Regions from separate parts of the Mus musculus genome. Here region 1 is reported to be linked to region 2. The links are microRNA targets in miRTarBase. Many come from high-throughput screens and were not tested one by one. Region 2 holds a microRNA gene; the other region holds the end of a gene's coding sequence.
The links. The annotated mature microRNA mmu-miR-495-3p reads AAACAAACAUGGUGCACUUCUU and lies in region 2 at 3,312-3,333, shown strand. An mRNA with a match to its seed (bases 2 to 7 or 8) in the 3' UTR can be bound and repressed. Matches are read on the target gene's strand: a 7mer-m8 pairs with bases 2 to 8, a 7mer-A1 pairs with bases 2 to 7 and ends in A, and an 8mer does both.

Region 1 (7,103 bases), not on the chromosome of region 2:
CTGTAACCAGATTCCCCAGCTTGCATTACTGTCTCCCCCTCTTCTCTTTCTCTCCCCCTCTCTCTTTGTGCTTTTTTCCCCCTTTTCTTTCTTTCTTTTTTTCTCCCTGCTAGGGCCCCTGAGTTTGGGTAGCGTCGAACCATGGGGCTTATGATGTCAAGAATTAGCACAGATTTGCCTAGTGATGGACTCTCACAAACACAAATTCTTTCCACTGGCCTCTTAGGAGATTGCGTTTGGTGAGTCATAAAATCTTGGGGTCTTTTAGCCCTTGGAATGCTACAATTCTTGGCTCAGCAGGGCCCAGAGTATATGTGCTAGCTCTTAGATGGTTTCTGGCCTTTCCTTGTTGCTTGCCTTCCCTTCCCTATGCCATACCCCCTTTTTCCAGCAGGGGGAGCCAGGCCCTCGAGGAACAGGGAGCCCCAGGTGCCTTTGCTCATCTGCTGTCACCTCAGTTTGGGTAGTGGGTAGGCTCAGGAGACTTGAGGGTCAGGTTTACCTAGAAGGTCCACCCAGCCCTAGTTTGGCCCACCAGGCCAGGTATTGAGCGAGCATGTCTGCGCTGTGGTGTTGGGGCGTTGGGGTCTCCACAGGGTGGTCCCGGCTGGGACGCAGGGCCCCTGTGAAGTATTAGGTTCCTGATTCTTCCCGGATCAGCTTTCCCGAAGCAGTCGTCCTGCTGTGAACTTAACTCAGCTGGACTCTGGGGCTTCGGGGGTCTTTTTGATTTTTCTGAAACCCTAACCCAGTCTGGGCACATTCCTGAGGGTTCGTCCTGCCTTCTCCACTGTCAGGGTCTTAGTTTGTGTCTGGGCTTTGGGCATCTTATCTGATATGAGGCTCCACCCTAAGCGCTGCTCAGTACACTCGGTGCAGATTGTTACAGGGTTGTGGGTGGGAGGCGGGAGGAGGCGGAGCAGGGGGCCCTCCGGGGCGGGCAGGAATCTCCCACTGTTCAGATGGGGAATTCTGACTCAGGGAGGCATGGTGGAGCCCTGGAATCCTCAATTCGACATGCAGTAGTGGGTAAGGTGCTTATCCTATGGGTGATTACAAGCACTTGCAAACACACGTTCAGTCAGCAGGCTGTAGGTGTTAGGATTGGCTGGGTTCCCCCCACCCCCCTTGAGAGCCATGTTCCTCACTAGCGAAGAGGGGGCAGGGAGATTTTGGCACTTGGCATAGGGTAATCTGTTCAGATATTAGTCCTTGAGGCTTCAATCGCCTGAGGCCAGCTTGCTGGGTGGGGGTCGGGGACTCTCTGAACCCACTTTGGCCCAAGTCCTTTCTTGAGGCCAACACCCCAACACTGGTTTCTCTGTGGGAAAAGCTGACTGGGGCCAAGCTCGCTCTCCAGCCAGTTTTGTGGTAACAGTCACTGGCTGGGAATCTGAGGCAAGGCTGGCTGGCTGGTGGTGTATGCCCATGTGTGGACATCATAGCTACAACCAGAAGCAGATGGGCTGAGGGTGTAGCTCAGTTGGTAGAGCGCTTGCTTCCCAAGCACAAAGACCCCGGCTTCCCGACCCTAGCACTGCAAAACCAGACGTGGTGGTGTGCGCCTGTAATCCCAGCCCTTGGGAGGTAGAGCGAGGAGGATCGGACGTTCAATAGTGGTCATCCCTGACTGCACAGTGAGTTTGGGGTCAGACTGGGATATATGAGACTCTTTCAAAATAAAAAGAGATGAATCAGGGAACACAAAGCCAAGCTCCTCTCTCCCAGGCTGCGGAAGTGGAGTCGGGTTTGTCCGTGTTGGAAAGTAAATGGCAGAGTCTGGGCTCTCTTGGAGTCCCGAGGGCTCTTCCAGGGGCTTGCTGGAAGCTCCTCTTTTGATTTGATGGCTGAAACTGACTCTTTTTTTTTTCTAGAACACTGGTTCTCAACCTGTGGGTCGTGACCACTTTGGGAGTTGAATGACTCCATTCTCAGGGGTTGTCTAAGTCCACTGGAAAACACAGATATTTACATCATGATTCATAACAATAGCCAAGTTACAGTTATAAAGTAGCAATGAAAACATTTTTATGAGCTAGGTGGTAGTGGCGCACCCCTTTAACCCCAGCACCTAGAAGGCAGAGGGAGGTGGATCTCTGTGAGTTCAAGGCCAGCCTGGTCTACAGAGTGAGTTCCAGAACAGCCAGGGCTACACAGAGAAACCCTGTCTCAAAAAGCCAAATCAAACCACAACAAATGGTTGGGGGTCACCACACCGTGAGGAATTGTGTTAAAGGGTTGCAGCATTGGGAAGGTTGAGAACCACTGCTCTATAATCTAATGGTAGTCCTACTAATCTCTGCTTGGTAGCCTCTGTGGCTGGACCTTAATTCCATGCCCTACACTCACACCAACTCATGCCCCACAACACCTCCAGATGTTTTTGCGCTGCACTGTTGAAGCTGCTACGTTTTGGAGTGACCTTTCTCTCAGCCTGTAGCCTCCCCCTGAAAGCCCACCCTGATAGCCCATCCCATCTGGTTTTCTCTTGCCTCATACGCCAGAGCTGGATTCCTTTGTTTTCTGCGCCTAAGTGACCATGTTCGGGTGGACCCTGGTGCGGGGAAGCCAAGGCTTGTGGCCCTTTCTGGAGCCGTGGCCCTGAACCAGTGTTTTACTTTGCGGGACCGAGGTGGACAAAGGGTTTTCCAGGCCTGCAGCACCCAGCCTAATGCTCCTGTTTTATAGATGAGAAGCTATGGCCCAGTGAGGAACAGTCTCTCCTGGGGCCCGTGGCCCTAGTTAGTGACAGAAGTAGGTTACATCTTGTCTTTTGAGTGCATTTGCACCTCTCCCTGCCAAAGGTCTTCCTCTGGGAACTGTCCCTGGAAATGACAGGCACCTGGAGAAGCAAGGGTGGCATTGGGGTGGGTGGTGGTCTCCGGTGGGAGTCCTTCAGCAAGGGGTGGGATCTATGAGGGGGTGCAATGTTAGTGAGTGCCCACAAGGGGGCAGCATAGACCTCTCAGCCATAGAGAAGGTGGGCGCTCTGGATACTGGAAAGGGTGGACTTGAGGCCCAGCTGGTAAGTAGATTGTATAAGTGTTCTCTGCTACTCTTGTGTCTGCTCAGAAGCAGTGGGTCTAGCACTAAGGATGTCACTATTGACCATAACTTCTTTCCTAGAGATAAGGTCTTATGTGGCCCAGGCTGGCTTTGAACTCACTAAGTAGCTAAGGATGCCACTGATCTTCTAACCCTCCTGCCTCCATTTCTTGAGTACCGAGTTTACAGTCATATATTACCATATCCGGTTTATGCAGTGCTGGGGGGTGGAACCGAGTGCTTTGTGCATGCCAGGCAAGCGTGCTACCAACCTACCAGCAAGACACCTTCAATACCGGCTCAGGAACAGGCCTGTTGATTGCCACTAACAGCCCATTGTGAGACTTCTGGGGTGGGTGGCACAGCTCCGTCATACTTAACTTGGCCCCGAGTGGCTCTTCCAGGCACACTCTCCCAGAGCAGCTGGCCCCACTTCCATGGTGCCCTGGCCCAGGTTCACAAAACAGCTTTCTTTCCTCAAGAAACAAGCTTGGGCTGAACAGCCGGAAGCGGTTCCTGATGCTGGGCAGGTGGGAGCTAGTGCTTGGGGGGGCTGGGAGTGGGGAGATGGATGGGGGGTGGAGCCAGGAAGGGATTAGTAACTAGGCAGCAGATAGCTCCAAGCTGTGTGCCCATGTGAGCGGGCAGCCTAAGTGGAAGGCGCTTGGCAGCAGGGCCTACCACTCCCTGCTGAGCATTGAGGAGTGGGGGGAGGACGATGTCTTGTAGTTGAGAAGTGAGCAGGGCCTACACTCAGGACTGCCACAGTGACGGTGTCTGTTTGGTACCCTGAAGAGGAGACAGAAGGTCTGGATAGCACCCGTATTCTGGAAGTAGACATGTAGAGTCCTACGGCTTTACACGAATACTTTGGGCACTAGAGGGTGGATGGGCAGATGAGCTGGCTAGAAGACGCCAGCCTAGTGGCTTAAGGCAGGAAGCCATCTGACGGAAACACTGACTGCCAGGCCTCGTGGGGCTCTGGGGTGGTGGGAGGTGGGCTGGGGAGACAGTTAATCTGCAGAGCATCAGAGAAGCTCCCACCAGAAGGTGACCTTGTGTGCTGGGACAGCTGCCATCCGCGCTGGGTGTCTTTGGGCCATTAAGGGATGGCCAACGGGCCGCTGTTTGCTGCTTTGTGGGAAACTTGCCAATACTTGCCCTGTGTCCAGGCCCGCTGTCCCTACCCCAGGGACAAGCTTCCTCTCTAATCCCTTCCTTCCCTCTGCTCCCGGGTTGAGAATAGGTGAAGGACAGATGACAGGCTGAGCCACGATGGTTTTGCTCACTGCAGGGTCTTTTGCTGGTGGCCTGTGGCCTCAATCTTCCCCCATGGATAGGCTCCTCAAAGATGCTCACCAGACAAAGGAAATGGTCCTGAGATGAGCTGTCTCTGGGATACCCCTTCCTCTTCTAACAGTCTTATCTGCAGCACACACACTTCCTGCCTCCTTCTCCTCCTCTTCCTTCTCTTCCTCCTTCTCCTCCTCCACACAAAAGAACTACTCACAGTAAGTCCGAGCCCTTAGCACAGGAGACAGCATTGTGTGGGGGAGGGGGTTACATTTGTGGCTGAATGGGGTCCACGGGCCACCACTTCTAACGTGGCTTACTTAGCCAGGCACTGTACACGCAACGCAGAGCTGAGCCAACCCAGTGCCTACGCTTCTCTGCCTGTGCTTCTGATGACCCTAGGCTAAGAAGGCTACATGAGCTTCTTTGTTTGTTTGTTTGATTGCCTCCATGAGTTTCCTCAGCCTGGGCCTTTTGGATCCTGAGGGGCAGGGGGAAGAGTCCCTTGCAAGAGCATTAAAGTCATTTGGCAGGTCCCAAAGGTGCCAGGATCTTTTTCTTGGAACTTACAGAGTACAGGGGTCATTTTATAACTAAAGCATTTATTTCCATTCAATTCACTAACCGATTGTTCTGCTCGGATTCCCTGCATTTGCTCACAGGGGAGCCTGCGGCCAGACCCCTTGACTGATGATGGTGTTCCTCTGGCCAAGACCTTCAGACCCAGGCAAAGGCCTCGGGGAAAGAAGGAGTGGGAGAGAGACAGAGAGAGACAGAGAGAGAGAGAGACAGAGAGAGAGAGAGAGAGAGAGAGACAGAGAGAGAGAGAGACAGAGAGAGAGAGAGAGTCACGTGGTCTCCCGGGGTACCCTTGGAGGGCTGGGGTGTCACAGTGAATGATCAGGGTCCTGACTTCCCGGGTAGCCTGGTCCAGGCTCCCAGACATGAAATCGAGTTTTGGCCATTGAAGAGCACCCAGGAACCTGAAGGGGCCTCTGTGCCTGGGAAGTGCCAGATAGAACAGGGCGGAGAGCATGAGAGCAGACAGGGAGGAAGGGAGGACTTCCGGCCTTGGAGCCCTCATCTGCCTCCGTCTGTGGTCCAGTGTGGGCGCTGATGTAGTTCCCTCCACTCTCCCAGTCCCACTGAGGTCTCTGAGTGGCCCAGGTGGCCCTGTGACAGTTGGCTTTGGTGAGGCCTGGCAGCAGGTGGGAGGAGGGAAGGGTATCAATGAAAAGCATATAAAAAAATCCAGAAATGTGCATATAAAATCTCGCCCTTGGTGTATTGCCTAAGTCAGTAAGCAGAAAGCACCTTCTTCCTGGAGAAGGATCAAGTCCTCAAAAGGTAGGAAATGTCAAAGTGTCTCTTCATTGTCATTTTTTTTTAAAAAAACCCAACAAACAAAACCCTCCCAGACCAAAACCACCCCTGATCAAAATACCCCCGGTCCACGGAATCGCTGTAAACAAACCCAGATGCAAGAGTATGCTTCTCTGTGGCAGTCGAGGCTGATGACAGTCACCTGCCTCCTCGTCCTCTGGCTGAGGCTGATCAGGAGCAGGGCCTTGTGGGGCTGCAGACCTGGGTGGCTGTCCTCAGGAAGATCTAGCCTGTTTGGCGTGACCTGGGAGGCCAGGAGCTCCTCTTCCGCCTCCTGAACCATTAGCAGAAAGTCTCTCGGAGTTTTTGGAAACCGTCTCCCAAGACAGAACAACTATCCTCCTGTCTGCCGGTGGCAGCTGGAATGGACTTCCCCGGAGCCTATCTGGGGCGACTGCCTGTCTCTCTGCCCCTTGTGCCTGGGGGCTGGGCCATTAGTGATGCTCCAAGAAACGGCTAAGGCCAGGCAAGGAGGGTGGCTCACCTCTTCCCTTCATGTTAATGTTCCTGGAAGTGTTTCTTGGCTCTGGCCAGCTCAACCTTCCCAGAAGGAGTTGGAGAGAAAATGCTTTTTGGCCTTCACGGGGACAGGCCATGTGGATCTCCCAAGCCTTTTGCTTTTCTCCTCTAAGAACCGTCACTTCCCTTATGAGAATCCTCTTGGAACGAACGTCTCTTGCCTGTCCCGCCCCCTCCCAGATCTAGGTGCGTGTCCCCCCCACCCAATCCCCTTTTCCTTCCTTTGACTTGCATGGGCTCTTGGTGACGGCTTGGCTGGAGTGCTGCTTGGTTCTTCCTGTTGTCTGTGGCCTCCTGGCAGGTGGCTGACCTTGTAGTGGACAGAGCAGCAGGGGGACCGATGTAGGGGGGCTCAGGGGGCGGCGTGGAGGAAGAGGAGAACCGAGGCAGGCGAATGTCAAACCTCTACAGACTGGATCTGGTTCATCTGGGCCCGCATCACCTGGATACTGTTCAGGATTTTTTTCTGGTGGCCAGCTAGAGTGACCCCAACGCGGAGAATGTCCCTTTGGGAGAGATAGACATAACTAGGAAAATGTATGTGTTGGGGGGGGGGTCATGGGCCAGCAGCCTAAACTTCCCCAGGCCCTTAGTGAGGGATGGGGAAGGGGTGTGGGGATGGGCATTGGGTGTCAAAGAGAGAGTAGAGATTCGGGGGTCCCAACAGTCAATGGGGAGGCAGGAGGCCATGTTTCTCCTGCCACCAGGAAGCGGGGAGGGGTTATATTGGCCATGTAACCATTGGCCATGTAACCATTTCCTTGAATCTCCTTCACTAAGCCCTGGTTTATAGATGAAAAATCTTCCCAGACTCTGGGATTTGCCCCGGAGGCACCAGGCAGATCCGGCTACAGATCTGAATA
Region 2 (7,121 bases):
ATGGGACATGGGAGTATGGCATCAGGACTCAGCCCTGGAAGGAAAGTCATTTGAAGAAGGGACAGGGTCCCCGTGGTGGCCTGAGGCTACTCCCTATGGCTTTGGACTGTGAGGTGACTCTTGGTGTGTGATGGCTTTTCAGCAAGGTCCTCCTCACAGTAGCTATAAGGACGTGCCAGCATCGTGACTGAAGGGACAATGATGCCCACTGTTCTCGGGGTAGCTGTGTGGATGGTAGACCGGTGACGTACACTTCATTTATGCTGTAGGTCACCCGTTTTACTATCCACCAACACCCAGACCATCTGTGGGAAGACACCTTGGTGCACACGGCAGCTATGAAGAAGATGTTGGTGGGGTTGAGGCCAGCGTGAAACTAAAATATTTCAAGCAGAGTTAGCTTTTAAGGGGGATCCTTTTTCTGCTTGTGTGTGTACATATATGTGTTCAAGAGAGAGAGTGTGTGTGTGTGTGTGTGTGTGTGTGTTGGGGGGGGGCTACCATGGGCGTGACTTTCATTTTATGATCCTGTATCTTTGCAGTAAACAACGCCATCCTGGAGGATCCCCTGAATGTGAAGCTATATCCCAAGCTGGGGCACATTTCTCCTGGTGGGTGAGTGACAGGTCTCTCTAGCCCAGCATCAAGCCCACATCTGTCACTTATGGCATAGGCTTCGTTGTTCTTGCTCATCTCCATGTCTGTTCAATTTTGCTTGTCTTCTGAGGATTCAAATCATTGGCTGCTTCCCAGCACAAGTACCTGACTAGGAGATGTATTTCAGATATGACATCTCCTTAGGGAAGGACACCAGAGTCCTCATCAATGGAAAAGGTATGTCATGGTGTTCTGTCTGAAAGAATATATTATATTTTCATGTGTGTCCTTCTTTACTAATGCTGAGTATGCCTTCCATACCTAGGACGACCTCCTGATGTATTGCTACCCTGGGGGTGAAGGTGGCTTCCTTGCCCCTCCTCCAGGCTCCTGGCAAGTGGTTCTTGCAGCCATGGCAGAGACATAGAAAGTAAGTAGGAACTCTCCGACTGAGATTAGGAACTACTGTGATTCTGCTCATGTTTCATTGGTCAAGCCAATGAAGGGTGGGGAGGTGCCCTGTAGCCATGTCATGAGGGAGAGAACATGTGTACAAGCATAGGCAACCAACTATCTACCTGGAACACCTAAGAAGTCTATCTTTATTCATGTTCTTTTTTTTTTTTAATCTCAATGTTCCATTTCCCAGCAAGTGGAGGGTCAACAGAATCTGTTCTCAGAACACCACATGCCACTTACATATATTTTTGTCCAGGAGACATTGTCTCGTTCTGACAAAGGCTCAGATATCTTTTTGTTTCCCATTTCATGATAACCTCCTTGCATCAGGGCCTCCACCGTGGAACATAGGTTGATGTCCTCCCCTCTAGCAGATGGGTGGTGACCTCGACTGAGAGGTCACGGGACCCACCTCCTCTCTTGTCACGGATCCAGAGCTGGACTTTGGGAAGCAAAGTCAGGATTATTATATCATTCTCTGATGTTTGAGGAGACTCCAAAGACCTCCCCAAAGGATGACCAATCCAAAGCCTGTCTACAAGATCCTGATTCTGCCTGCGTGGAGCGGGCACAGCTGTGAGAGCCCCCTAGGTACAGCGGGGCTGCAGCGTGATCGCCTGCTCACGCACAGGAAGTGACGACAGCGGTACTCAAGCCACAGGAAGTGACGACAGCGGTACACAAGTGGTACACAGGGTTCCATGCTGCTGACGTACGGTGCTTAATGAGAAGTTGCCCGCGTGTTTTTCGCTTTATATGTGACGAAACATTCGCGGTGCACTTCTTTTTCAGCATCCTATTCTACGTTGAAGACTTCGGGGGTTCAACTACTTACTGACTTCAGGGAAGCCATGTTAGTCTAGGAAAGTAGTCTATGTAGTGAGCCTGGGTTGTGTGAGTTTATCTCCCTTCTTGAATGGTCCTCTGACCTTTCTTAATGAGAATGGGTTTGGGTTGGTTGGCTCCTGCTCCCTCCTCCCTCCTCCACAACACAGTGTCAAAGGAACCAGTTGACCAGACATTATTGATTCCTAGATGAGACCTTAGCCCACAGGGAGATGTTTGCTGAGACTTCTGGGAGGGGAATGAGTCTTCATTTCTGTGAGAGATGTCTGAGTGGATCTCACTGTTCCCTGAGTTTGAAGGCCAGCTAGAATTCAAGAGGACAGTACCCAGGGCTGTTTAGACAGAGGGGGAAGTGCCTGTCCCAGAGGAACCATGGGACATTTGAGTAACAGTACAATCTGGGACCTGCATCCGACACTCCTTGAAGCTCAACACGTCACTGTACCTTTAAGTTATATTAGCCTGGATGCCTCCTTTGTGTGTAAGTCAGCTTGAGGTGGGCCTTTCCTTACTATGAGAGGAATGGATGGCTCCTTGTTGAGTGGCCTGTCAATGAGTGTAACTGGCATTCTTTGGATGGTATGTTCTCTTGCTCATTATTCCCATTGTCCAGTCTAAGGTAGGTAGTTGGTACCAAGTCACTTTCCTTTGTGGTTCAGATATATTGCTGTAGTGTTGTAACCTTCCAGTAACGGTAACACACACTAATCAATGCGTTTTGTTTTCAGGGAAGGGTCGGTCATATGTCCCGTTCAGGACAGCCGCAAGATGATGAACGGACATTGCATCCCCAGACATCTCACACGCTCAGAATCCTGGAGCCTCCCATTTCAACCTGTTCTTCTGCTTCCCAGTACCCTGTGAGCTCTTTGTTGTATTTGTCTACATCGTAAGTCACTTCTGGGTGCGGGAGAGGGGGGACCTCAGAGGGCATCATCCAGGCACTCACACAGCTGGTTTAGGCTGCCCTGGATTTTGCCACCTAGTTCTTTGACTTTTTTTTTTTTTCTCAGCTTCAGAAGAGGATCCTGGAACTGAGAGAGGAGATTCTGTCTTGGAGTTTGGCACCATCCCATTTCCCCCGAGTGACACTTCAGAATGACTGGCAAGGATGGTAGGCAACATCTCAGAATCTTCAGTCTTCGTCCCAGGTCTTCCTGAGATCCTGAGGTAGAGGGGGTTTGGGCTGGATTGCTATGGCAGTGATGAGTACTGAGCCACTCCCCTTGCCTCAGGACCCCCATCCCTGTCCCCCTCCCGGCCAAGTATCTGCCTCACCCACCATCCCTTCCTTCCGCCTGTCCCTCAGCATCCCTTCACACTCAGGCACACTGCTGGAACAAGCAAGAGCTCAGCCGTGGTACCTGAAAAGAAGTTGCCCATGTTATTTTTCGCTTTTATTTGTGACGAAACAAACATGGTGCACTTCTTTTTCGATATCAAATCTCACCTTGGAGAGCTCCCCATGGACCAGAGGGAGGACGGGAGGCCAGGGGGTTTGGGTCACCATGTGCACAGGGGCATTTACCTCAAAGAAGCACAATTTCACCTGCCCCTCTTGGCTCTGTGCATTGTTAGGTCCAGAATGCCCACCTCCTGGGACAGGCACAGTCAGTAAGGGAAACCAGGAAGCGCACTTTTAGGCTCTGTTGTAGGATGGAGTTCAGATAAGAGAAGCCCAGAAAATTATAAAATCCAAACAATAGCAATTTAATCAAACAGCCAATACAAGCCAAACCACCAATTCCTTCTGGAGACATGTGTCTAGATGTCAGCTGCAGGTGTCTTTACCAAGATATGTCAGTTGGTGAGTGTCACATAACACTATGACTCTAGAAAAGCCTGGGCCCCAGATCAGCTCTTTACCAGCATCCTGCCATGTCTACGGGCTGTGCTCTTTGATGCCATTAGCAAGGCCTTGAGGACTGGTGGGTGCTGGCTACGATTGGGACCAGGGAACAGCAAGCTGTCATCAGCCACTGCTGCCTGTCTCTTATCTCTGATACTGGTACCCCTGCCCTCTGGAGTGGTAGATGTAAGGCGGCACTTCAGACCCCTTTTCCCTAGTGAACTTCTCTTTATGGCTAACATTCTCTGGTAGCCTCCTCATGGCATCAAAATTGCCTTTGAGTGTGGTTGTTTGAGCAGGGCCCTTTGGTGGCTCTCTTGTGAGAGTGGGAGGGAGGATACAATCCAGAGAGTATGAGAACACCTCATCCATCCATCTCCCCTGGAGGGTTTCCGAAGCTGAGCCAGTACAAGATATGGGATCACTCTTAGGCAACCCTTTGCTAGGATACTAGCTATTTCTTTCTTTGCTCAAGTTGGAATAAAAGCTTTGTTTATACTTACGTGGCTCAACAACCATAGCGCATCAAAACCCAGTGCAAACTCCATCTAAGAGGTACCAGGATTAGCCACACACTTAGCTCTTAGTTTCTACTGGCTCAGTGATGCCCTTGGGCTGTGGCTGTACCTGTGTTTTGGCTTCTGCCTATAAAAGATGGAAACACCTTTGGAAAAGCAGCAACTCTCCCTTTATACCCATGGAGAAAGGCTAAGGGGCATGGAACAAGCATGGTCAACCCATTTTCTTAGGTTGAAAATCCCTTTCCATCTAGTGGGTACTGGCCTCGGTGCTGGTGGAGCAGTGAGCACGCCATACATTATATCTGTGACACCTGCCACCCAGCCCAAGGCCCCTAGGCCCACAAACTTCTGGAGGGGAGTTTGTCTTGGATTCATCCAAGGAATGCAAAGGACACCTGGACAGAAATGCCTCTGGTGGTCATCCCAAGGTAACCGGACTTGTTCAGTTCCATTTCACATTTAGCTTTGTGCTTTATTGGCAGGCTTCTAAGGGCTGCTATTCACCCCTACATCCCAGGTACGTATAGGCCCAGAGGGAGCCTTCCATCTTTGAGGGTAGAATATTCTCTGGGCACAATACCTCACCAGCTGTCTTTTTCACAGGAGAAGCCTGGGCAGGATTGCCGCAGCTGTTCCAAGAGGCCCCAAGGGACAGTGTCCACATCATGGTGTTTGTTCGTGGAAGATATTAAACGCTGACCTCTTTTTGAGCACAAAATCCCTCCTTGAAGGGCTCTCTGTACCCGGTGTCAGGTTCAGGAACACGATGTGGGCATCAGCCCCTTGCTGATGGTATGTGAGCAGATGTCTGGCCAGATGGCAAGTGCTTTTGTTTATTTATTTTCTTATTTTGAGACTTGAGAGTTTATTGAATGAATCATCCTATAATCCAATTTCCCAAGGCAAATCTGTACATAAAAATCTAGTTTCTATCACATCGCTTCCTTCTTAATTGATTGACAGATTTGAGCAAAAACATGTCTAGCCTGCATTTCAGATTTTGAGAATTTTAAAGAATATACTCTGCCCTTCCCAGGTTCGCCTGGATCTAACCAAACGGACAAGCTCAAATATCAAATGAAAAATGATGAGAGCAAGATGAAGGTGGGAATCTCTATGAATATGTGGCACCCATATTGATTTTTTTGTATAACTCATTTAATATAACAATTTTCGATAACATTTTTTTTGTAGCAAGTTTTCATTGTAACCCAGGATACCTTTGAATTTCTTAGGTAGCTGAGGCTGACTTTGAACTCCTGCTTGCCTCTGCCTTCCAAACGCTGGCATCAAAGGTATGTTACCATAACCAGCTCAAAACTGTTGCTCTTGCAGAGGACCATAGTTCAGTTCCCAGCACCTAGACTGGATGGCTACAAGTTTAGCTTTAGGGATGTATTCTTCTTGCCTCCTTGGGTGTGCCCACATGCATACACATGCACGCATGGATAGTGAGACTACAGAAGGCAACAGACCTTGATCTCCTACCTCTACACATAGGCAAAGCAAGCATACTGGCACCACCACACGCGCGCGCACACACACACACACACACACACACACACACACACACACACACACATGAACCTAAACGTAGCTGGACATTGTTCCTAAAGAGCAGACCCAGTTCACACACAGCTACATTTGCCGTTGCTGCTCCTAGGGTCAGGACAGATGAACACATTTGCTCCCGTAACCAGCTATCAGATCCCCTAACGAATTCTGTCCTGCTTCTTTCTAGGGTCTCCTGGCCTCATAGGGCACTATGAAAGGAAGCAGGTGTAGCCCACTGGTAAGTGACCTATCCATGCACTTGAAGGTGTTTGTGAGGTTTTCTGCTTTAACAAGCTGTAGATACAAGGAGGGGCCTTGGCTCTTTGGGGCGAGGCCTCAGCATCCTTGGGTCCTCTTGTCTTTGGTTACCCAGCTTTATGAAACTCTCTGGCCAGTTCCTACTTTATTAAAACATGACCCATGACAGCACCACTATTTGGACATATATGGGAGGGCTGGTCACAGAGCATATGTTCTATGTGTGGGGACTATCACCTGGCCTACTTGTCTTCGGCCTCAAGGCTAAGATGACGAAGATGTTGGAGTTAATTAGCTGAGTTGGGGTTTTCAGTCCTTCTTTGCTTTTTTTTTTTTTTTTTTTTTTAACCAAAGATTTATAGTGTCGGTACTGGTATGCCTCTGTGTCTGATGTACTCAAAAAAGATTGGACAGGAACTTGAGCTAATCTTGTAAGGACCTGGTAGTGTGGTGATAGTAAGTCATGAATGTCCTGCTTAGCCATGTCTCAAGGTGTCTTTTATACCTATCCCCAACAGTGTCACACTAATGCATTGAGCCTGTGTGTTGGAGCCTTCTGGACTTAGCCCATTTCCTAGAAAACTTCCTTGATGTCTCCAGTGCTCCGTGGCACCTACGTGGATGCCCCAGCAGCCACCTTGATGACATCTCTCCCAAGGGTACCCAGGATGGGCTGTATGGGTGTGGAACTGGTTTTGGAAATCACAAGGGAACAGATTTCTTGTCATAAACTCTCTAAGAGGGGGTGGGGGTTTACAGTAACTCCCTACTAGGCTGTGTGACAACCAGGGCTATGTTTAACTGTACGGTGGGCTCTAGATACACTTCTGTCGCTCACTTTCTGATATTCAAAAGGTGAGTGCTCCTCTATGCCTCTGGTTAATCATAGAGGTAACACCCACATTTTCAGTATCTCAAGTGGTTCTGGGATGTTTCTGAATACAAAGTGCCCCCTAGGACAAAGCAGGTTATTCCAGTCTTCCCCCACCCAGAGAACAAAGGGAGAGATGGGTTCCACAGCCTGTGCTTTCCACAGC

Region 1: miRTarBase lists Ephb2 as a target of mmu-miR-495-3p. Seed matches in the 3' UTR shown: 7mer-m8 at 5,806-5,812 and 7mer-m8 at 5,737-5,743.

Annotation. Positions count from the first base shown.
Region 1 is chr4:136,648,685-136,655,787 of GRCm38, forward strand. Ephb2 (Eph receptor B2) reads right to left here. Exons shown (of 16, transcript NM_010142.4): 16 at 1-6,746. The coding sequence ends at 6,638. Among named protein-coding and RNA genes, the nearest start is that of Lactbl1, 30 kb to the left of the region's middle.
Region 2 is chr12:109,715,484-109,722,604 of GRCm38, forward strand. It overlaps Mir495 (microRNA 495), which reads left to right and starts at 3,271; the gene lies at 3,271-3,333. It overlaps Mir679 (microRNA 679), which reads left to right and starts at 94; the gene lies at 94-167. It overlaps Mir1193 (microRNA 1193), which reads left to right and starts at 188; the gene lies at 188-308. It overlaps Mir666 (microRNA 666), which reads left to right and starts at 1,602; the gene lies at 1,602-1,700. It also overlaps Mir543 and Mir667.